Drosophila melanogaster: one gene and its partners. The protein of the gene in region 2 purifies or fractionates together with the protein of the main gene of each other region. This does not show direct contact. Each region holds a gene or a part of one and is shown on either strand. Other genes may lie near its edges.

Region 1 (6,914 bases), on a different chromosome or scaffold from region 2:
ATTCGCTTTCCAACACTGACACCTCACTGGACCGATTTTAAACGCGTTGGCTTTTCTGTGATTTGTGATGCTCTGAATTCTGATTTCGTTTCGCTGGCAAAGTGAGAATTTGAACGTTCCTATTTTGCTTCATGTCGATTCCGTCACTGTTCAATATTTTGGTTTGGGCGGCTGGCCTGTACCTACCTGTGAATTCATCCTCCCACTCTAAACCCGGATTAAGATTGTATTCATCTTGAAGAAATATAAAGAAATAAATATATTGTACAAACATTGCTGGTATTTGGTAGTTTGTGATTCTTCAAATCAAAACGCAAAAAAAAAAAAAAAACATGACTTTGGCTTTAGCATACCGCCCATTTAAATCGACAAATCGATAGTCAATGTTTAAACAAAATGCATACGGTAAGAAGTGAAAAATGTTGGTTTTTAGTGTGCTCAACACTTGTTGCTTGGCGAAATTATTACACGAATATGTAAAATATGACTAAATAGGGTATATGTATAAGTACTATTAGCACACAAGCCAGGCTCATATGATGGAACACAAAAGGTAGCGAGGGGAGGAGAAAGTGTTTATAATACAACTTAGGATGTTTAGCTAATATATCTGATACGCAATCATACAAACGATATTAAGATAAAGGCTATTCGTGCTTACAAATGAAGATTCTTTTATACGTGTGTATGTTTGGGTTATGCATTTGATTCTTAGACAGTAGCATAGACTTAAAAATACTCTTGGGAAAATAAATCGAATTCAAATATTTAAGTAATAGATCGGTTATGCTAAAAAGTACAAAAAATCTAAATTATACCATTGGTATGCATGTTTTAGAAGAACCCTCAATACTTATAATGGGTCATACATAAATTAAGACAAAAAATTACAAAAAAAAAAATTATGTTAAAACTCAACTTAAAGCGATTACGAAAAGTACTTAAACGAATAAAGAACTTAAAAATTGGGTGGAGATTACAAATTTGTTTTTCATTTTCCATTCAATGAACGATTTTCACACAAGGTCTCTAAGATCTGATACGAACTGATACGAATCTTTTTTCAGGTAGTTATCGAGCTAATTGAAACAAATGTCATATAAATCATATAAAATGTAATAAATATATGTATATAGTCCCAATTGGGATGCAAATCAAAGGACCAAATCGGAAACAAAGATCGAAGAAGCAACTACGAGAAGCTAGGACATAGGGCATATATATATTCTAGGATAGGATTACCATATCAAGCGTACACTAAGCAAGTCAGAAAAACTCTAAGGAGCATAGATCGTGTTGTGGATAGATATTGAGCAAACTACACAAATACATAATGTGAGTATATAGAGAAGTTCAGCATAGAGAGGTTTCAAGGTAATGGTAATATATAGGACTACGGGTATAGATACGCTTCTTACGAGTGGCACACAGACCGCTACGGAGGCTGAAAAGTTCTAAGTACGGAATTACGCATACAACGAGGACTACTCACCATAATAATCCGTAGCATGAGCTGCAGTTTTTTTTTCGTGCGTGCCAAAAACAGTTAAGAGGGAAGAAAGAGAAAGTAAATAGACAAATTATTAAATGCGCTCGAACGGTTTACACTCTAATGATCTATGGGTTCGGATGTGGACATGGATGGATGTGGATGGAAAGATTGATGCTGGACAGCGGTGGCCATGCGGAAATGAGTCGAGACTGCGGCGTTAATGAAGCGAAACAAGGCCAATTGGTGTAATGCTTAGTGCTACCAATAACCTTTACAAAAACGCGACAAAAATTAAAGTAATAATTATAAAAAGGCGTGTTTAAAGAGGGGATAAACATGACACATTGCGTTGCAGTACCATTTACAACCTATATTTTTAAAAGTTCGGATTGAAGTGTTCAGATAGTGTGCTGAATATTGCATAGTATACAAAATAGTGACGAATGGTTTTTGAAATCGTGTCTGAGCTTTTCCAGTTTCGAACATTTATAAAATAAACTAACAAAAACAATTGCTGGGATAGATGGGCTAAATTGAGAGCACTGAAGGAACCAAAAACCAATAATGCGGATTGACCAAATCAAGAGAAATCTGTCATAAGATGATCAATCGACCAGAAACTACGTTTCTTGGGCATTGCAACCAAATTGGGCCGAGGCAAAGCAAAAGGAAGCTGTCTAAATTCAAGCAGTTAAGTAGATAGTCCACCGAATTGTCTACGCATGTACGATGCTGACATCCTTCTGCCTGCAGAGCCTTACAGCAAATTTAGACTAAGTCGTGTGGGCGCTTCACATGGAGCTCTTCGTGTATTCACATGTGTATGCCGCTTCGTTTTGTCACAATAACTTTCGTGTGCTGATGTGTGATTAGGTGTGGAGTTTGCTTAAAATTAAGATTAGTACCTTTACGTGGACGCCACCAGTCCTCCATATATCCTGACAGAGGCGAGGAGTGGCAAGAAAGAACTGTATTTGTTATTTTATTTCACTATGGATTATGGTTTCTGTTTGCATCTTTGTTTTTTTTCTCTGCTGGGAGGGACGGGAGTTGGGGGCACTTGATGGGGAACAAAGCGCGGAAACAGGGTCAGCATGCAGCGGTGTAAGCTAGCACCAGACAGAAAGGGAGAGTTTGGAGCACAGACATGGACAGAGAGAGTGAGAGGGACAGATAGATACACTGCTCCTCCGGCGGACGGTGACGGAGTCTGGGAAACAGCAGGGAAGCCAAACACATTTAACAACGAGACCAAGAATAAGAACGGTAACAGTAGCGAGAGATGGAGTCAAACTATGGATAGTGGTTACGGTAGAGCCCAACCAGATCCCCGCCCCGGGGGCAATACGCACCATCGCCGTTTCCGCCTCCGGTACTGGTCGTCTGGGTCTGCTTTGTGTAGACCAGTGTCTCTTTTGGTGGAATGTTCGTAGCCTGCACATTGTAGACGCTTAGGTTGAGGGGCTGTTTCTTTCCGCCGCTGGTGGGGGGTGCACATAAGAAATTGGTATTAGTTAGGAATCGGTTAAATGGCAATAGCAATAGTACAATACATTGATCGTTAAAACTTAATCAGTACTAAGCCCATTGTCTAATCTGTGTAATACTAATTTTTAAAACGGCTAATGCTAAAATTGAATTGTAAAAATTGCCACGCTCTCTAACCAGGATTCCAATTTTGACTACTGATATTTTTTTATGTTAAGCTTGTAGATGGGGAATCTGTCTCTACAGTTGTTTAGCAAAAAAAACTTAGGGAATCAAATGTCTATACCTATATGACCTGAATATGTCTAATATGCCCTGCGAACTTCTGCTTAAGATGGTAATTCTACTCACAAAGCTTTTGCTATGAACTGGCTTACCTCTGGCCATTGACAGTGGCTTGGAGGCTGGCGTCGGGGGTCTGTGTGTTCGAGTTGTCCGAAGTCATCGAGTTGACGGAGGAGAGTGAGGAAAGGACCTCGGAGACGGGGGCCACGCCCAGCGATGACAGCATTTCGTCGAGATCCCTGAAAGAGGCGAACGAAAGTTGGATGATGGCGGTGCTGAGTCAGCTCTGAGGAGAAGCTTATGGCAAACCCACTTGCGCTGATCCTTGTCGATGCCTGCTCCGCCGCCAATGCGACCGGCCGCCTCCTCCATGTCCTTGATCTCCTTCTCGCGACGCCGGCGATCCTTCTCCTCGCGCAGGGCGGCCAACTTGGCCTTCTTGCGTTCCAGCTCAGCCTTGCGATCCATTTCTCGGGGCGATTAGCTGCTGCGATTTGCTGTTCGAGTGGGCGTTCGGTACGGGACTCTAGATCTCTGGCGGGCCAAGTTCTCTGCAAGGGGGATGCATGATTAATGGTCGCCAATATTGGTAGCTTTGATGATGTCACCAACTGCTGGCCAGAAGCAAAGAAAGTGGGTGCGCTGTGTGGTTCTCCACCGCTCGCTTGGCGTGGCGCAGCCAACTCATATGTTCTCCTATCGCCAAGTGGAGCACATTTCCCGGTAACCCAGTGAGTGGCCGTCACTTTACTTTCCTTTGCTCGGCCAAAAAAAAAAAATCAATAATCCAGCGATTGGACTGTGACGTCTTTTCGCCCTGGCTGCGTTTTTCAACTTCCTTCTCTCACTGCTCTTGTGATTTTTCCATGAAATGCACAAAAACCCACCTCTTGACTGTCTTTACTCGTTGTTCGGCTGCTTTTTAAGTACTTAAATCATCATTTTTCAACAATGTAAAAATGCGACTGACTTTTAATGTTTTGACTAACTAGAGATGGAACATCGCCCACGGCCAGTTACTTCGCACAGTTATTGGCACACGAAGGAGATAATGGGCGCGGCTGGTTTACATAGATGCCCAAAGGGTGTGGAAGACTAGGATTCTTAGCGGGATTCCGAATTCTTAATTAACACAAGTTTAAACACAAGAATAAGATTTTACTACTGTACGGCGATAGCTGTGAACAGCTGTCGTGACAGCGATAGTTCCAGTCTTTCCATGCACTAGCGCAGCGATCTGGCAGCACTACTGCGTTTAGCAGAACGCTGTTAGTTACAGTTACATTTCACATACACTGCAACACACTTTATATTTATTAATATTTATATTTATTTATGGAAGAAATCTACAAATCATGCTTAAATAGAGCTTCAAACTGAATATATATATATATATATATATATATATATTATATTATATATTATTAATTATTAATTATTAATTATTAATATTAATTATAAATATATTAGATTAATATATAATTATATTACCATAATTAATAATAGGTAAAAAGTATGTTAATACAGAGATATGCCGCATTTTAAAATTGTTATGTTATAGGTGGCTTACAGTTATCATAAAAAAGTTTTGCACACTCACACACATGCACTATGAAATATCAGTGTTGCTTTCTGAAGCGTAACTTTTAATTTATAGATTCAAGAGAGGTATCTGTAGGTAAATTCGAATTGATACACAGTACCTTAATGATAATACACTGATGTCCCATATGCATACAAAATTAAATAATCCTTTTAGGTCTAAAATTCAGCTAAAATTAATGCCCACAACCTGTGCATTTGTTTGATTAAAATGCTGAGTGTGAAGTACTACAAAATGTAAAAATTAATTAATTAAGAAAGGTAAGCAAGACTATTCTTGTAAAAAATTACCAATACCGCTGAAATTCCCATAGTGACTCAAAACTACTGAGCTTACAAAATACGTTCAGGGTTCTGAAAGTATGTACATACATACGTATGTACATATGTATGTAGATATGTCGTGTTTTAATTGCCCCTCCAAAGTGCCAATTACATTCAATGCGCGTCTTTGGGCCAGTGAAATCACCAGAACCCGCCGTGGAAATAGAAAGCGCACTTAGGCGATGTGTCTTTCCACAATGTATGCCATAATTTGTGCCACCAATGCCAGATGTTGCTGCAACGCGGGGCGCAAAGCGAATCCAACAGTAGTACGTGCCTTCGGTCGTATCTGAATGTATCCGAAAGTATCTGAAAGTATCTGAAAGATACCGTATCCAAAGTGCCAAGGAAGAGGTTTTCATGGGGTTAAAGCGCCCATGAAACTTTTGGGGATTTTATTTCGATTCGATTTGGCGCATCTGCACATCTGCACATCTGAATTTAAATGCCAGCATTCGACGACCCAAAAACTGTAGTCCGAGTTGCTCGTTTCGTAACCGCATTGATAAACCGGACTCGAACTGGAATCGCTCCGATGATCCCCCATGCTGCAGTAAAAACCTTGAATTGCCAAATCTTCGACTGCTCAACTTTTTGCTCCAGGCCGACAAATCTTGCACATGGGCGGGAGTTGGCAAACCGATGAGCGGATACTTAATATCTTCGCTTTTTCCCCGCGCTAATTGCCAGGCCAAACCTGTCGCACCGAAGTCGAGATGCCAGCGCGATTAGTTTACAAATTAATTTGCCAATTGAATTTCAGATTTAGACGTCTGGCCGGGCTTCCAAGAACCACCTCCACCTGGTTTCCACATGGGATCGGGCGAGAGTAAAAGTGTATTGTTAATTAGCCACTACACGCCGCCAACCTAAACTAGTTTCCCAGCCCGTCTGGTTTGGCCGCATCTCCGATCTCCGATAGCTGATTATATTTTCATTATTTTTTATTTCTTTCCTACTCCGATCGGAGCGGATCGATCGCATCTCCCAAGGACAGCGGCTTTTGGGTCATTGCGTGGCCGCTTAGCATATTTATGCATATATTATGTACATATATTACCGGCATGCTCCGCCGCTTGGCCGCTGGAAGCATCGGGATGACACAGTTTTCCATCCCATGGGCGTAGCTCCTCGGAAATGGCTACACCAAACCAACCCCCCCCCCTCCCCTCCCCCACCAATCACCTGTAGACCAGTTCCCAAGCAGGCAAAACTAGAAATTCTATATTGTATCAGGCATTTCATTGGATTCCTATGGATCACCATGTTTCTAATAGATATACAACATTCAATTTGTAAGATACATTTATTACATTAGTACTTGCTCTTGTTAATTTCATCATATTTTAATATTTCTAAATGATAGTTTATAAAAATGTGCTCTTATTTCAATTATACATATATAATGTATATTATCTTACCTTATTTTACCAAAAGTAATAATGCTAAATTTTTGATTTGCGGGAGTGGCGTTTAAGACATTACCTTCCAACTAATTGGGTGTGTTACTCATTACCAAGTCTTTCATCCGTCCGTCTGCATATATGCAATGTATATATAGTATAATTTAAAGATACAGATCCAGACCGAAACTACGCCCATGGCGTGTCCTCTTCAGCCTTGAAGTCTCAATTTTTGGCTGGCACTTTGGACGAAAGGACGGTCTTCCAACTCCAACTCGTCGCCAAATGGATGGTACCTGTTTGGCTGGCCTTTTGGTCGA
Region 2 (6,056 bases):
ACTATTTAATAACTACTAACGAATCAAATCAAGTTAAATACTCAACAATCAAACAAACAACTTTAATTTTGGCAACCGATCACATAATTTACAATCGTGTACACTTATCATACGATTCGTACCTTACAAAAAATCACAGTTGAATGCGGACAAACGTTACGTACGAAAATTTAATTGCATTACAATCGAGACTTGTAATTTTGCTAATCTAACGTGCGCGGTTAGTGTAAATTTAAGTGCACATATATGCAAATACATATATGTCTGCATATATATGTATATGTATGTATATTTGACTAAAGCTTTCACAACTATAGCCCAGCTGCTGGGGGCCGATAGATAAAAATAAATATATGTGGGGGGTTGTTCCGACGGCTGGGGCGATTGACTAGCGGAAGTTGTACAGCTGAAAGTAGTACAACATCAAGACAATGAAGATGGCGGCAAAGTATCAGTAATCGAGTCGCTTTTTCAGGCGGAAAAACTCGGCGTTGTCGATGCTCGTCAGATTGTCCATGTTCAGGTTGCGCAACGTCTTCACGCCGGATAGTCGCTCCTCCAAGTCTGTGTACATACTCCGACATCGATAGATTGACAGCGTTTGCAGGCAGCTGCAGTTGGTGATAATGGCGTCCAGCGTGTGCTCCGTCAGCTGGCTGCAACCGCTGATGTGCAGAGCCTTCAGGCGGGGCAACTTAGACGTTACCACCTGGATGGTCTTGTCCGTAATGTTGTAGCAGTCAGATAGGTCGAGCTCCTCAATCGATGGGCAACTGCTGGCCATCGCCTCCATGCCCAGCAGGGAAATCTGCTGGCAATTCGAGAGCATTAGCCGCCTCAGCTCGATGTGCTTCAGCCCATATTTCAGGGATACATCACTGATCTTATTGCAGCCACGCAAGTTTAGCGATCGCAATCCCCGCAACTGCTGAATGTTGTGACCCTCGAAATCATCCTCTCGTATCAGGTTCATTTCGTAGGCGGCCAGCATGGCTTGCTTTCGCCGGGCATCCCGAACAATCTCATCCTCGGCCTTGCTCCTGAGCGATATCTTAATGGACTGCAGGGAACCCGCCAGGCTGTCTCGTTCCGCCAGCGTGTTCGAGTACGGCGGGTAGAAGTTGTCCATCGACGACACCTGCGAACCCGACTGCTTACGACTCATTTCCAGCTTGGATATGTTTATACCTGTGAGGGCTGCATCGGTTAACTATATTTAAATAAAACCAAATTACAAGGCAGAACTTATATTTATCGCGACTTTCAGTCTTACCCCACTGCAGTGCTCTAAAGAGAGCTCGCGCAGCCATCGCAGCTGGCCGATGACCGACTGGATAGCCTCATCGGTGGCTCCATTGACGCAGTGATTCAAGTGCAGTGATCGCAGACATCGTAGGTTACTGGCAATTGCCTTGATGCATTCCTCGCAGATCTGAAGGTATGAAACGTTCAGCTCCTGTATTACCGGATTCTCCTCGCTAGCGATGCCTTCTATGATGCCGCTGCTTGTCAAGTTATCGCAGTTTGAGATGTCCAGACTTTTGAGACACTTTAGCTTGGCCAAGTGGATGGCACCAGCATTTGTAATGCTCAGGCAGCCGTTCACCTTCAAGTGCTCCAGCTGCGGATTAGTTTGTACCAAGGCGGCCAGATTTTCATCGTTAACACACATTGTGGCCGACAAATCGAGGGCACACAACTGGGGCTGTGTGGCTAGAAAGTTCAGGATTGTGGTGCAGTTAAGCTGTCTGCATCCGGCCAAATAGAGGCGCTGCAGTTGGAGATTGAGGTCGCAAAGGGCCAACAAAGCCTGGCCAATTAGGGTGTGGCTAAAGTTCAACACGCGCAACGTACGTCGCTGCAGGTTCAGAATGGTGAGGATGAACTTGAACGTGAGCACAGACTCGCTGGGCAAAACGTGATCCGAGGAGCTGGTGGCAGGGTAAAATCTGCGATGAATAGCATTGTGAAAGGCTATGTGACAGCCGGACATGTTAATCGCTTCCAGACTGGGCATGAACGATGTGAGACGCATAAGAATGGCATCCGTGAGGTATTGGTTCTCGCACAGCGTCAGCTCCTTGATGCCGGCCAGATTGCTTGCCAGGTCGTTTAGGTCAGGACAGGAGTTGTTGTAAGAGTCCAGGAAAGAGCCGGACATGAACAGCGGCAGACAGCGCTTCAGCGACAGCGAGTGGAGATGGGGCAGCACGCCCAGCATGCCGTAGAACTGTTTGTCATTCAAATCCACATTGTCCAGAGCCAGGGACTGAGCGGTCCTGCCCATGAAGCGCATCAATTCCTTTACTTGTCCCAGTGTCACGTCCTCGAACAGGAAGTGCTGGAAACGCCGCTCGCAGCGCATCAGATCCACTCCAGGACTCAATTGATCCGATAGCACCACCTTGGAGAAGCAGACTCGCGTGCGCTGGTTAAATTCCGCCTGATCCAGCGCCGCATGCCATCGCTGGCAGGTGGATCCTGCCGCTTGTAAGTCCGAGTAGCCGAGATAGCTGAAAATCTTCAAAACAATCTGGGGGCGGAACAGAAAAAAACAAAATCAGCTGACTGCCCTAACAGGTATATGAATATGCAGATATAGATACGCTCGAAATGATGGATTGGTCACGGGACCGCGGCAGTCCGTTCACATTATATGCTCACCTCCAGCGGCAGATCATCGTATCTATGCAACCCGTACTCTAAGCCAGACATTACTCTATTGTTTTCGGATGCAAAATATTAAGATTAGTACAACCAACTAGCAGCTCCCACCGCCCACTCGCTTCGCCCGCAAACTACACGAAAACTACAGTGTTGACTAACTTAGTACCTGTGCTAGGTACAGTAGGACCGTGCCTTTTTTCTATCCTCACTGGTCTATAAAATACCAGAAGAAAAGTGTACCTTCATTGATTTACCAATTGGAAGTCGATCATGGAATTATTTACCTATTGCTTATGAATGATTTTAAATGTATATCGTTTTTCCTAAAATCAAAATAGGTTTAAATTAGCACAAAAAGCTTTAATTTATTTTTATAAATGTTTGCATCTATGAATCCAGTTAACAAAGTACAATGTGCAAGTACAATTTATTTATATCGATGATATATTTTGCAATACTATTTACTCTTAGCTTATTAGCCGTTACAAGTAATAACTGTCTTTTTTAAATGACTTTTTAGATACCTCTGTTTATAAATACTCCAATGACAACTGCACTTTGGCATTTGTTTGGTAACCGCGCACGGTAACTTTTTTTATGACATCAGATCGAATTGATTGTTGTAAAAAAGGATTTTTGAAGGTTTATAATTATTTCGTTGCCAAAGGATTCCAAACACCGCCGTCGACGTGCCCACAATAATGGCCGATCCCAAGTTCCAGAACCTACCGGGAATAGTAAGTCGGAACTCCGCACCATGGCAGTGACGTTTAAGCTTTCGTTTTTGCCCATTTATACATATATGTACTTTATGTTTTTAGGCTTATGACCAGCCGGACGTGTACGAAACTCCAGATGACCCGGAGCTCGATACATCCGACTACTACGAAGAGGAGCCGGAGAACGAAGCCATCGAGCGACTGCACATCTCGCCGAGCGTCGCTCACAAGCGCTTCAGCGGAGCAACGGTCGAGGGGAGTGTGGACTTCACGGATCGCATTGGACGACGCATGTGCCGGGGTTACGATACGCGCGGCTCCAGCGACTACGAGCTGGTTGGCCAGGGCGAGAAGGAGACGCCGGTGCAGAAGTGCCAGCGCCTGCAGATCGAGATGAACGAGCTTCTGAACGAGGTGGCCGCCTTGCAGGTGGACCGCAAGGTAGCCGACGAGGAGAAGCAGTCGTACGATGCGGTGGCCACGGTTATCAGCACGGCCCGAAAGGTGCTGGAGTCGCTGAAGCTGGAGCAAGTGCTGGGCAAGGAGCAGACGCCTGGAAGTAAGCAGGTGAAAGCACTCATTAGCCAGGTGGAGGAGTTCAAGCAGTCCGGCGTTCTCACAGCCATACCCACGCCTGGCACCGATCTGGCGGCCACGGCCCGCGTAGCCAGTCTAGAGCAGCGAATCTCGCAGCTGGAGAAGGTGCTGGGCGCTCAGCCGGACAAGTTGAGCCGCCTTACCGCCGCCACCAACACCACCAATGTACTAGAGGCAGTGCGTCATCTAAGCACCAAGGCGGCCCTGATACAGCCTGATAAACTGGACACCATCGAGCAGCGCCTGACCTCGCTGGCCGGCAAGATGGATGCTATCGCCGAAAAGTCCAGCGGCAGTGCCCAGGACGCCAAACGAGATCAGAAGATTACGGAACTATACGACATCGCGAAGCGCACGGAGCCAGTGGTGGAAATACTGCCGCACGTCATCGAACGCATGCAAGCCCTCGAGGCCCTCCATAAATATGGTAAGCAATTCTATTTAGCATTTTAGCATTGTGCTTGTTTCTGTAACTAATCAACTTGCTCTGCAGCAAACAATTTCGCCAAGATCATCGCAGAGATTGAGCAGAAGCAGGGAACCATCACCACTAGCTTGGTGAACAACAAGGAGCTGCTGCATTCCGTACAGGAGACTTTCGCCCAGAATCTGGAGACTATCAACAGCAAGGTGGCCAAGGTGGAGCAGCGTGTGGCGGCCATATCGTCTGCCAAATGAGTGGATGCATACCATGCGTATTAAATAAACATAGCTTATATTTATGAAAGATACCTATAATAAAGAGATCTACATTCGAGTCCAGTTCCAGTCAAAAAATAAATGCAAAGTGATCTGGAATTTAAAATGAGTTCATAATAAATATTAATATTAAAAGTGCTGAAGCTAGTTTACGAATATAAAATGCGATGGAAAATAAATCTTTAAATAATTTCGACTATCATTTTTAATAATGTATACTGATAAAAACTATTTTTAAAATTGCACATTGAAACGGAATATTTAAATTGCATACCGTTAAACTCGCAGTATATTCTGGTCGCACGCATTTGGTATTTCAGTGCGTGCCCTGTGGTATATTACGTTGGCTCAGAGCACGGTCACACTGGCCGTTCCTACGGTTCTTAAAAATATTAACGATTCCAGTTAAATTCAAGATCAAAAAGTCTCGTTGCAGCGCAAGCGAGTACAAATTGCATTCACAATTGTGTGTAAGTTGCGCAATTAGCATAATTAAAGATACTTAAAGGCCGGCGGGCACTACTGGGCCACATCTGCAATGGGGAAGCCAATGGGAAAAGTGATGACGGGGCTTACTCCAATTGGACGTGACACAATTTCGTTCTGAACTTGTACCTCCCATAATATTTGTGTTTTTTCGCTTTATTTACACGAGCAGCACGAAGGGACATTGCAAGATGAAGATCAAGGAACTGCAAAAGACGGTGAACATCGCCTGGTCGCCGGCGCAGCAGCAGCAGATTCTCTTGGCCGCCGGCACCGCCGCCCAACAATTCGATTCCAATGCCAATTCCACTCTGGAGTTGTACTCACCGAACTTCAGCGATGCCACATACGATCTGGAGCTGAGGGCCAGCGTTTCCAGCCAGTACAAGTGAGTTATGGCTTTCAATTTGTGCATCAAGTCGTTCACATAACCGGCTTTTCCTCCCGCAGGTTCCAAAAACTCATCTGGTCCCCAGTGGGACCACACCCCAGTGGCCTGATTGTGGGCGGCTGCGAGGCGGGGCAGATCAACATATACTCAGCCGACAAGCTGCTTGCAGGCAAGGAGGAGCCGCTTCTGAAGCGCCAGGACAAGCACACAGGCGCCGTTAGCGGGTTGGACTTCAATCCCTTCCAGAACAACCTGCTGGCCTCATGCGCCTCCGAATCGGAAATCCTAATCTGGGACCTCAACAACCCGGAAACAAGCATGAGTCCCGGCACCAAGACACAACCACTGGAGGACGTAAAGAACGTAGCATGGAACAGGCAGGTGCAGCACATTCTAGCCTCCGTGTTCAGCACACGCTGCGTGATTTGGGATCTGCGTAAGAGTCAGCAGATCATCAAGCTCTCCGACTCGCAGTCGCGAGTGAGGTGGCACGCTAT
Region 3 (10,133 bases), 7.3 Mb from region 2:
TTTCTTCTTCGCAGCCGGCCCGTCGGCAGCCGTGCCATTGCCATTGACCAAGTTCTGATTCGAATTCTGCTGATTCGAATTCGGATTCAGGTTCTTTTTGCCGCCGGCCGTGTTGTTGTTCTCCTTGGCCTTGCCGCTGGCCTTTGTTGCTGTTGCTGTTGCATCGCCCGTGGCCGTTGCATTTGAATTCTTCGCCTCCGTTTCAAGCGCCATGCTTTTGTTTCACCTGCTCGCCAAAAACTCAACAAAACCAGCGGAGGAGACACAGAGTTCTAGTTCACGTTTCTTTTTTTTTTGGGCCCGTCCGTCCGTGTTACACAACTCTAACCGCTCGCCGAGCTCGGGGTGATTTCGGTTCGATTTTCAGTGTCTTTCTGGTCGATTGCGAACGTGATTGTTGTTTGGTTAACGATCTCGTACGCATCTATGACAAGTGGGTCTTTGCTAGTTCTGTTCTTTTCAGCACATTACTTATCGAGGATATAAATCGGCCGATTCGCTAGAAAATAACGCGTTATGTTGTTAACGGCTGAGAGTGTGACCACCGGGTGAACATTTAAATATACCGCTGGCATTGGCTTGGTTGCAGTATTTTAATTAGTATTTAGTTATTTGCTGTGTATAATTGCAGATGGACAACAACTAGTGATAGGGATGCACACGCAAAAACGATACCAATATATATGATTGCATTTATTTTAACAACAATTGTGTTCTGTTTAATAAAAGGTAATTTATGCACAATACAAACTTATTTTTATTTAAAACAAATTTTTAAGCCTTTTTATAAAGTGCGTCATATTAGCGTCGTTGAGGAACAGTGAAATTTGTAACATGGGTAGGTTTTTTTTATTTTATTTGAAGGTGAATTTCTATTCAACAATTTTTAAAAATTAATTAATGTAAAGGGCCTGTTTTAAGGATGGGTTGGTTCATAGCTGGACCTACTGTTATGAAATTATCTCAAAAATTGAAATTTTCCTGAAATTCCACCGTTCCGCCATCGCCGCTAACTTATCGACTCTAATTTGACGCATACAATTTTACAGATCAAGCATAGTCCCCGTTAAGTTTTTTTTTTAATTCGGTGTGTATTTTTTACGACTTGTAATACAGCCACACATAAAATACTGTTTTTAACCAAACAAACATGTCGCTTATAAAGAATTTGGTAAAAGAGCCCGAACAGAAGGCAAAGAAAAAGAAAAAGAATGCGGGATCTGGAGAAAGCGATTCCGATGAGAAGGACAAGCCTCTGCGGCCGTTCATCAAAACCGCGACAGATCTACAGAGGCTGAAGCTGGAGAAGCTCATGAAGAATCCGGTATGTGTTTGCATTGGAAAGCTGGGTGGACATTCATATTAATAAACCTTTTATTGCCAGGATAAGCCCGTGGTCATACCGGAGCAGCGTCGCGAACGGGACTTCATGTCCTCGGTGCCCACGTTCGTGCGGAATGTGATGGGAAGCAGTGCTGGAGCGGGTTCCGGCGAGTTCCATGTGTACCGCCACTTGCGACGCAAGGAGTACGCCCGCCAGAAGAACATCCAGAACCAGAGTGCCCGCGAAGCAGCAGATGAAGCTTACCAGCAGAAGTTGGACGACAACAGACGCGCGGCCGAAGAAAAGACTGCTAAGAAACGAGCCAAACGGTTGAAGAGAAAACAGAGGGCGAAAAAGCCGAGAGAGGACAAGAAGCCACTGGCTAAGGAAGCCTCAGAGGATAGTAACACAGATTCCGAGGAAGAGCCCACAGAAGAAAAGGCAGAAAGTAGCCCTGAGGAAGGACAACAGGTGGCATCCAAGGAATCCGACGACAATAACACCCAAGAAACTTCGAATGAAGAGGCAGTGAATTCAAATACAGAAGCGAAAAGCGCAGAGGACACAAATGCAGTGGAATTAGATAGCACCGAAGCTACAAAGGAATCCCAAAATGTGGATCAAGAACAAGACAAGCCTGTGCCTTAGTACCTCCTGTTCTATTCCTATCAATAAACCGTTTAGAGTAATAAAACACAGTGCGGTTTTATTTATAGTACTTTTGTAATATATATATATTAAGCGATTTCTATACATCGCCAGTATCTAGGGGTTTTCATCTGAGGCCATCTTTCTAAAGCAGCTTGGTTGAGAAGAAAGCGTTTTGCGAATTATGCATTGAGTTGTCGTGGCTTTAGTGCGCATTTTGTTTTTTGTTGTCTTACATTTATAAGGTGCATCAAATGTTGCATTTTTGAGTATAATAAATGCTTTCAAAATTTGACATCGCAGGCAATACATTAATTATACCCTTGACAGAAATCCACCATTTTTAGTTCTGGGTATAAACATATTTTTTTCTGGTTTCTTGAAGAAGCAAGTTTTTATTGTTTTCAATAATTAGATTTCTTTGAATCCGAAAAATCGTTTCTTCTAATTGTTGGATTTTTCTGCGTTTTGTTTTTGTTTTCTCAGATACATCTATATGATTTCTCGGTTTTGCACAAATAATTATTTATAGTATATTTATATATAGGTATATTTTTTGCCGTTGCTCTTAAATAAACAATTACAAATAAATTTGCAGCATTTTTCTACTATGTAAACCGTAAAAGTAAATTATATTTTGAACTTAAAGCCAACTTAAATTTGTAAGCATTTTGAAAGGTATTTGTTTTTGTTGAAGATCCTTTCGCGAAAAAGAACACAAAACAGGAATTGTGTAAAGTGAATATGGTTAAAAGAAGCAAACTGTTATCGTTAAAACTACCTCAATTATGATAAAAAGCATGTTGCACTCCTCTCCAAGTAATTCTCATTAACAAACTTCTCTTTGTGAGTACAAGTTTTCTTAGATGTTGAAATACTTCCTTGCTTATATAAATTTTCCAGTGAATTTAGCTATTATTATGCATACATTTTGCAAACACTAAAACACATCAACGTCATTGAATTTTTTTCAAGTGAGTGCGAGTGCTCGGGTACATTTGTGGATGGAAAAACATTTCTGCGCCACATGGTACACATGGTATTAGCCGTCGAATGAAATACAGTTTACCATTGTAAATACGTTCCATTCTCATCGAATTCTACGACAAATTCAAGTTAGGATGCCCGTTTGCTTAGCGAGCCAATGCTGGTTTATAAAGGAGGGCGGCATTAACTTTAAACGATAATCGTATGTATGTATTTTTTGGGCATTTTGTTTATGTACTTTGTATAGTAGGTAGGTAGTTAGTTTAGTTAGAAGGTCGTACAATTAAATAAATAATTCGTTTTCGCCAGTTTCATTCAGTTTTAAAATACAATATGTTCATTTTACGCTGACACAGAAAGCGTCTGGAAAATAAACTTCCGCGGAGGTGGCCGAGACTGCTCGTGTATGGGCGTGTTGTGTGGGTATGTGATTTAATATATTAGCTTTATTTATGTTTAAATTGAGAAGTAAGCAGAACCCTTGCCGATTCTTCCTTAATTTAACGACATTCCCAGACCTTTACTGTTTGATCTACGCTACCGCTAATTACGTACGGATGCGCTTTGTGAAAATCTGCAAGAAAACGGATGACAATTAAAATATATAGTTCATACACACAATGCCTTGTGTGGACCCACCTATGGAGGTGCAGAAATGCTGATGCGCGTATAGCGTCTTCATGCATCGCTTGTTGCGCAAGTCCCACACCCGAATGGTCTTGTCATCGCTGGCCGACACCAAGTATTTGCCACCAGGATGGAATGCCAGGCCACGCACCCAATTGTCATGGCCACTCAGGGTAAGCAGGCACAGGCCGACGCTCACGTCCCAAATGCGAATGGTTTTGTCGCGAGAGCCGGAGGCCAGGAACGGGCCCTGGTGATGGCCCTTCTTGTTGTCTGCTCCGGCTGCCTCGTTTATCGCAGAGGCTGCGGCTTCCGGCGCCCAGGCAATGCACTCCACAGTATGCTCATGATCGCGTAATTCAACCTGCAGAAGAATCAAACCGTCGTTAGACTCTTCATTGCCAGCAGAAGCTGCACATGGCAATGCTCACCTTGCAGTCTTTTGAATTCGTCAACCAAACACGTATTGTCTGATCATTTGAGCATGTGGCAAAGATGCTGCCTTCGATGTGCACTCGCACCATTCGCACCCACTCTCGATGGCCTGTGTAGGTTTTCACACAGTAGCTGAGGATGAGAAGTCACATGTTGGTCATATTATCCCTTAAACGAAATGTCCTTTTTCTTTAACTCACCCTGTGGCCACCTCCCACATTTTAATAGTGCGGTCCCGGGATGCAGAGAGTACATAATCTCCGGCCGGCACAAAGGCCACCGACGAGACATTGTGATCGTGACCATGCATAGTTTTGATACACTCGTAGCTCTGCTGGAAATCCCACAATTTGATGGATAAGTCCGCGCTGCAGGAGGCTGTTGCAATTAAAGCAAAATTAAATTGGTTTTACTATATATTCAACTATGGCAAGATCTTACCCAAAAGCTTGCCCTGGGCATCAAATGCGACATCCTGCACAGAGTCCGTGTGTCCCTTCAGGCTGCGTTCGTACTCGCCAGTTTCGAAGTCCCAAATCCTAATGGTGGCGTCTTCGGATGCGGAAACCATAAGAGCAAAGATGGGGTGGAAAATTACCTGCAATTATAAAATGTAAATGTAAAATGTTTATTAATTTGTTAACTTCTCAACTTACCCTCGTTATGCTGGCACGATGACCGGTCAGGGAGAACTTCTCTGGCGGCCGAGGTATCCACTCGCCAGGCGTCCGTTTGTTCTTTGTGGGCGCCCCCTCGATGACCTCCTTCTCAGCTTCAGTGAGCTTAGCCTCTAGTTCCATCACTTTCTTCTGCAGCCGAATCACGGACGTCCACTTCTTTTCCAACAGTCCGCCAAATTTCTTTTCCACTTCTGTGCTGAGATCGGCCTCCTTGCGGAAGGTCTCCAATGAGTCGGCGTAGCCATTTGAGCCCAGATAATCGGCAATCGCTTGGTTACTGATGGCGATACAATTAAAAGGATTAGTTCATGGGGTAATAGTTATATAAGACGACTGGGACTTACAGCTCCTCGCGCTGCCGCTGCGACAACACCATTTTCATACTGTTTTCCGATTTGGCTTGTTTTGCTTCTCTCGTTCGCAATTCGGTTATCCGCCTTCAACTCTTGCAATTCTGCAATGGAAAAGGTAGACATTCAATATGTGTACAGCAGTTCTTACCACAGTCAGATACAAGATATATTTCCTATATACATATCTTGCAAACCATTTCGTTAGACAGAGTTATGTATAATTTTTGGTTCATCTATCGAACTTCTACTGTATAATCATATGATGATTTGATGTACCTGGGACAGGAAATTGGTTTCGCAAAACCTAAATGCCAAAAATGCCAGCAAGTTTCGTTTGAGTTCTCATGGAGGGCAGGCGAGTCACCCACATTTTCTTGAATTTTTTTGGCAGCAGTATTTCTGTTTCCTATGCTCACCTTTCGTCTAGTCATTATATTGTTTCATTCTCCCAAAGCGGAGCATCATCATTATCATCGTGTCTTTGGTTTCTGGCACACATTTTTGTGTTGCCCGTGCCTCGAATAAGTGGGCAAAAAAAAAATAATAATCGAAACTTTGGCAATGCTTGAAGCGAAGCAGCAGCAGCATTTGGTAACCCCTGCAATCGAACTGCACTCGTCATCGGTGAGTTCAAGGGTCGATTTCACATGGAATTAGGCAGAAATCATATGGGTGCGCTATTTGTTTGTTTAGTGCCCATGTTTTTTTGACTGCAAAACCTTTTTAATCAACTCAAGGTGGCCAAATCATGGGTATAGCACGCAATATAACAACAGCAATCGGAAACAAATAGCTAACGCATATCTCGCGTACTTGATAACGATGGACAACTGACGCGTTGCCAACGAATATACTAGCGAAGGAAAATCCACGACAAGGCAAAGCCAATTAGCCAGACTTAACGGTAGTTCAAGCAACTTCTTATAGGTAAATAAGGCTGCGAAAGAGCGTGCGAGCGAAGAAGCAGAACAAACACGGGCACCAGAGGTGCAATTGATAGCATAAAAACTAATTCAGCTGTTTCTTTTATTTGTGCTAAATAGTTATTGGCTATATGATCATTAAATTAATAGGTGTTATGAAAACATAAACAAGACCTAAATATCTCGAATTCATTACTAATTTCATGGCCCCACCTGTGAGAGACACGCTCACACATCACGGTCTAGGAAATGACGTTTCCAAATTATTTTTGGCCAAATGATATTTAACGATTTTTTTGAACTAGCAAATATGGCAAAAAAAAAAGACAAGCAAAAACTGACCAAACGGGTTCACAGCCGAATCCGATTCGAAACGGCCACTCAATATAGCCGTGAGTCATTCGGCTGGACGCGACTTGAACTACTCCTATAGGGCTTATCAGCTGTATTCGAGCACTTGGCGCTCATCATTTGAATATTGTGGGTGGATGTTTGGCTGCGCTCTAACTGCGCATCTAAATATATCCCAGGAAAATCGATGAAAAGCGTTGCGAGCGTCACGGGTATTAATGGAAAAGTGGAGCGTGGGCAGCAAAGTGGGGTTAAGATAGTGGGGGGTCCCTTAAACCATCGAACGAAGTCAACACTGTTTGTGTTGTGGCAACCAGGCATTCCGAAACACAAAGCCATGCGCATTGTAACCGTAAAGCTGTGGGTGTGTGCCATATGGGGGAATGAAAACAATGGGAAGGGGGCGTTTGGGTCGCACGCCACACCAGAAATGTTACTAAATCAGTAAAAATCATATGGGATTCTCATTGTTGCACTTGCTCAAGTTAATTTAATATTTGAATTTTAAATGGTTTTGGGTGGGCGTGAGAGCGAGATAGTTGGCAAGGGGCATAGACCAGGGCTGCAACGAACACACACACACACACAGTAAGGTCTTGAATTTTAAGGATCTTTCTCTTCCTCTCACTCCCCCTTTCGTTTGAATTCGCTTGCTTATTCTCTCTCTCCCGCTCTGGCAAACAGACCTTGCACTTGCCTTTGCTTGTTTATTTGCGTGTTTCATTGATTAGCACACACTCACACACGCGCCGGCGAGCAAATGCAATTGCAATTTCAAGTGCAAAAAGAGAGAGGAAAAAGGAAAACAATAGCCAAAAAAGCTTTGAACTCCAGCTTTAACCCCACGACGGGCATCGAATGCAGGGACTAACCGTTAAGTGCCGAGACTTTTTGCTTTGCCTTTCTTTAACCCACTGCTGGAAACGTGCAAAAAGCTCGTCACTAGATAATAGAAACAATTTGCAGTGTCAGGAGCGCTTTCCACACATTCTGGGAAATCGCAACGGGTCTTGAATATCTAAAAGAATGCCGCAGCAAAAAAGCCCAAAACGGAAAACTGTAAAAAAAAAACAAAAACAACTACACAAGCACAACGAAGAAAATAAAACGAGATTTCTTGTGCATTGGCAGAACTGGTTTGCCCAGTAATAGGTGTTGTTGGCCTATGGGGGAACGGGAAGTACATATATGCAAGGAATCGGCCAGTTCGGGGACTCGACTTGGCTAAAAATCGATCAATTCTACTTTTGGCGAGGGGGAGGACTCCAAACATGCGCGAAAATCCACAGACATCGTCACTCGCACACACACACACACTCGCGCACGCACACCAACGCACTCGATGTGTCATCGCTTTCTGGTGGTTGTAAATAAAATGTAATCATAGTTCGTTTCTCCACTTATTTACTGATCGTCTTTTTGTTCAACACACTACTTTTTTTGTGCATAATTTGCATAACTCTTTCGCTTGTTTTTTCATTCTCTTTTCAATAACAAACACAATAACAACAACAGTTTGAACGAAAATACTGTTACGACGGCCATCTTGGATAGAGAGAGGGGGCCAAGAGAAAGAAATGTCCCAAAGGCAATATGCATAATGGGGAAAAAGGACAAATATCCAAGCGCACATATAGTATATTATATTTTCCGACTCCAACCGACATGCTTGGTACATAATGCGCGAACTAACACTTTGCCATTGGCAGTTTTGTACATATGACGTTTTTTTTTCTTCATTTCTCCCAATAGCCCATTACACGGGTTGGTTGCGAAAAATCCATTTTGCTTGGGTGTTCTATTTACAACGCGGCGACTCGGTGTTTGTTCTTATTATGCAGCGAACGTTACTTACAACAATTTAGTATTTCATATATTTATAATTACGCTTATTTATTTATGTTTAATCGAAATATACGAAAAGAATTACGCAGAAAAGTGACGAGCGGACGAAAATGCTTCGATTAGTGTGACCGCAGTGGAAGCAGCTCAAAAAACATCACGGGACTATCGATGACAGCGATTAGCTATCGATGTGACTAGGAATGTAGAAAAATGTTAATAAAAATATGTATAATAACTTCTAAATACTTTTTATATCTTATATAAGACCTAAGGACTGAAACCATTGAGTAAAGAACGAGTTGCCATAACTTAAGCCCTACTTCCATGCAAGCGCAGTGTGAACAGCTTAAAAAATTGGCGCGCTATTTAAAATGCTGATAAGGAAATGGACCTTCGTCAGCTTTTTTTTTGCGGAACCACAACGCCTATCCGTGAGTGAACAAAATGGGTTTCCAATTATTTATGCCATATAAGTATTGCTATTTATTTATAACACATCCCAATTCGATAGTCAACACTGCAGTTTGCTAATTGTAAACCGACTTTGTTGTTATCTTACACACACATTCGCGATGGGAGTAAACTTTCCTTATCACCGCTCACACAGCGCCAGAACACAACACAACCGATTTATGGAGTGCTCCCTTTGGCGCTCAGTATTCGAGAATCGCTCAGCGGAAACGGTTATTAGTTTACTGATTTTCGGGCGACACACACACATTCGTTATTCATAGTTGGTGCGCCCAAATATTCGCGAAACAGCAACAACAATTAGCAACCATCTGTCACCTGTGAGTGCAGCGTATCGTACACAATCTCAATCGCTCATTGGGAAAATTGCCGAATAATGTAAATCATTTGCCAAATTTGGGCACTCGTTGTGTGTTATCAGTGTTTGAGATTTAATCAGCCATTTTGTACGCATTACATTATATCGATATAGCCGCTATATCAGCCAATTCTATGGCTCTATAGATATATGTTAAATATGATTCAGTTTAGCAATGCTTGCTAATCCTGCGGTAGCCGATCCTCTTGGCCACATTAGCGTTTAACTGGCGAAATCGAAAGCCATTTATGAGCCAGCACCGTATGGCTGTTATCAGACCGACAACTCTGATGATTATATGCCGATGATAAAGGCCGCTTGTTCGTTTGTAAACGTTAAATTGTTATTATTGGCTTACTTGGTGTTTTGGAAAACCTCGGCGCGCTGCGATTTGTTTAAACAATCGGGCACAGACATTGGCAAATTGTCAACGTTCCATTGCCACACTTTCTGATAACCAAACCCATTAATAATGATCGGAAAGTGTCATTTTTTTTATTTGCTCCAAAGAAGAGCTGTCTTCTTCGCTTGCTTCCGTTGCCGGCAGCGACAACTGAAATTAGTAATTAGTGCTGCCAATTTGAGGGTACGGAATTCTTTCGATTAGCAAGCTCTTCGATGACGCACTCAGCATATCGGCAATATAGTCTATATATCTATATCTATATATCTATTGCTATACCCATTCCATTTGCGACTGCGTGATGGGATTGCAAACAGAGCCGCGATTCGAATTCGAGGATCGTCGTCGGCGATTCTCTGCGATTTTAGCGAATCTGTCGTTAATTTTGTTCGATTATTATTGGGTTGTCCAACAAGCCAGATTACTATCTGTATCTATATCTGCTGGCCACTTCTCCAGCCTGTGAAGTGGCTTGATAAGATTCTAGGGATCCAAAAAATCCAACAAAAAATTCAGAGAATATTGCGACATGACATTGCTGGAGTTTCCAACTTCATTCTCATGAATTTCCGCCGCATTAAAAGGCTTTGGGTGTAAGCCACGACATTGAGATAACCCCCTTTTTATTTTTTTTTTTTGGTATCTCGACCATTTCGTTTATTTTTTTACATTTTCCACTTACGTGTGGTATTTGTGAAATGATCATAAATCGCTCGCTGGAAGTTGTA

Evidence for each region.
Region 1: the proteins of DCTN2-p50 (region 2) and sw purify together in Drosophila melanogaster (affinity purification with western blotting, with the first as the bait; one study listed by BioGRID). This does not show direct contact.
Region 3: the proteins of DCTN2-p50 (region 2) and Lis-1 purify together in Drosophila melanogaster (affinity purification with western blotting, with the first as the bait; one study listed by BioGRID). This does not show direct contact.

What each region holds. Positions count from the first base shown.
Region 1 is NC_004354.4:20,231,931-20,238,844, forward strand, and holds the start of sw (short wing), read right to left. Parts: upstream 4,269-6,914; 5' UTR 4,153-4,268; intron 4,021-4,152; exon of another isoform or gene 3,874-4,020; intron 3,817-3,873; 5' UTR 3,734-3,816; coding exon 3,579-3,733; intron 3,505-3,578; coding exon 3,358-3,504; intron 2,973-3,357; coding exon 2,845-2,972; intron 2,461-2,844; coding exon 2,398-2,460; intron 1,514-2,397; coding exon 1,493-1,513; intron 235-1,492; coding exon 187-234; intron 1-186. UniProt on the Drosophila melanogaster protein: Acts as one of several non-catalytic accessory components of the cytoplasmic dynein 1 complex that are thought to be involved in linking dynein to cargos and to adapter proteins that regulate dynein function.
Region 2 is NT_033778.4:8,888,586-8,894,641, forward strand, and holds DCTN2-p50 (dynactin 2, p50 subunit), read left to right. Parts: upstream 1-3,246; 5' UTR 3,247-3,368; coding exon 3,369-3,404; intron 3,405-3,488; coding exon 3,489-4,410; intron 4,411-4,476; coding exon 4,477-4,661; 3' UTR 4,662-4,754; downstream 4,755-6,056. Other genes in the region: CG8272 (uncharacterized protein), read right to left, coding at 452-1,210, 1,274-2,533, 2,665-2,715; Sec31 (secretory 31), read left to right, coding at 5,360-5,556, 5,619-6,056. UniProt on the Drosophila melanogaster protein: Modulates cytoplasmic dynein binding to an organelle, and plays a role in prometaphase chromosome alignment and spindle organization during mitosis. May play a role in synapse formation during brain development.
Region 3 is NT_033778.4:16,177,003-16,187,135, reverse strand, and holds Lis-1 (Lissencephaly-1), read right to left. Parts: upstream 8,311-10,133; 5' UTR 8,184-8,310; intron 7,804-8,183; exon of another isoform or gene 7,764-7,803; intron 5,888-7,763; exon of another isoform or gene 5,331-5,887; intron 5,156-5,330; 5' UTR 5,084-5,155; coding exon 5,046-5,083; intron 4,979-5,045; coding exon 4,678-4,978; intron 4,620-4,677; coding exon 4,463-4,619; intron 4,400-4,462; coding exon 4,222-4,399; intron 4,154-4,221; coding exon 4,018-4,153; intron 3,951-4,017; coding exon 3,599-3,950; intron 3,534-3,598; coding exon 3,460-3,533; 3' UTR 2,033-3,459; downstream 1-2,032. Other genes in the region: clu (clueless), read right to left, coding at 1-213; CG8441 (uncharacterized protein), read left to right, coding at 1,151-1,324, 1,385-1,972. UniProt on the Drosophila melanogaster protein: Positively regulates the activity of the minus-end directed microtubule motor protein dynein. May enhance dynein-mediated microtubule sliding by targeting dynein to the microtubule plus end.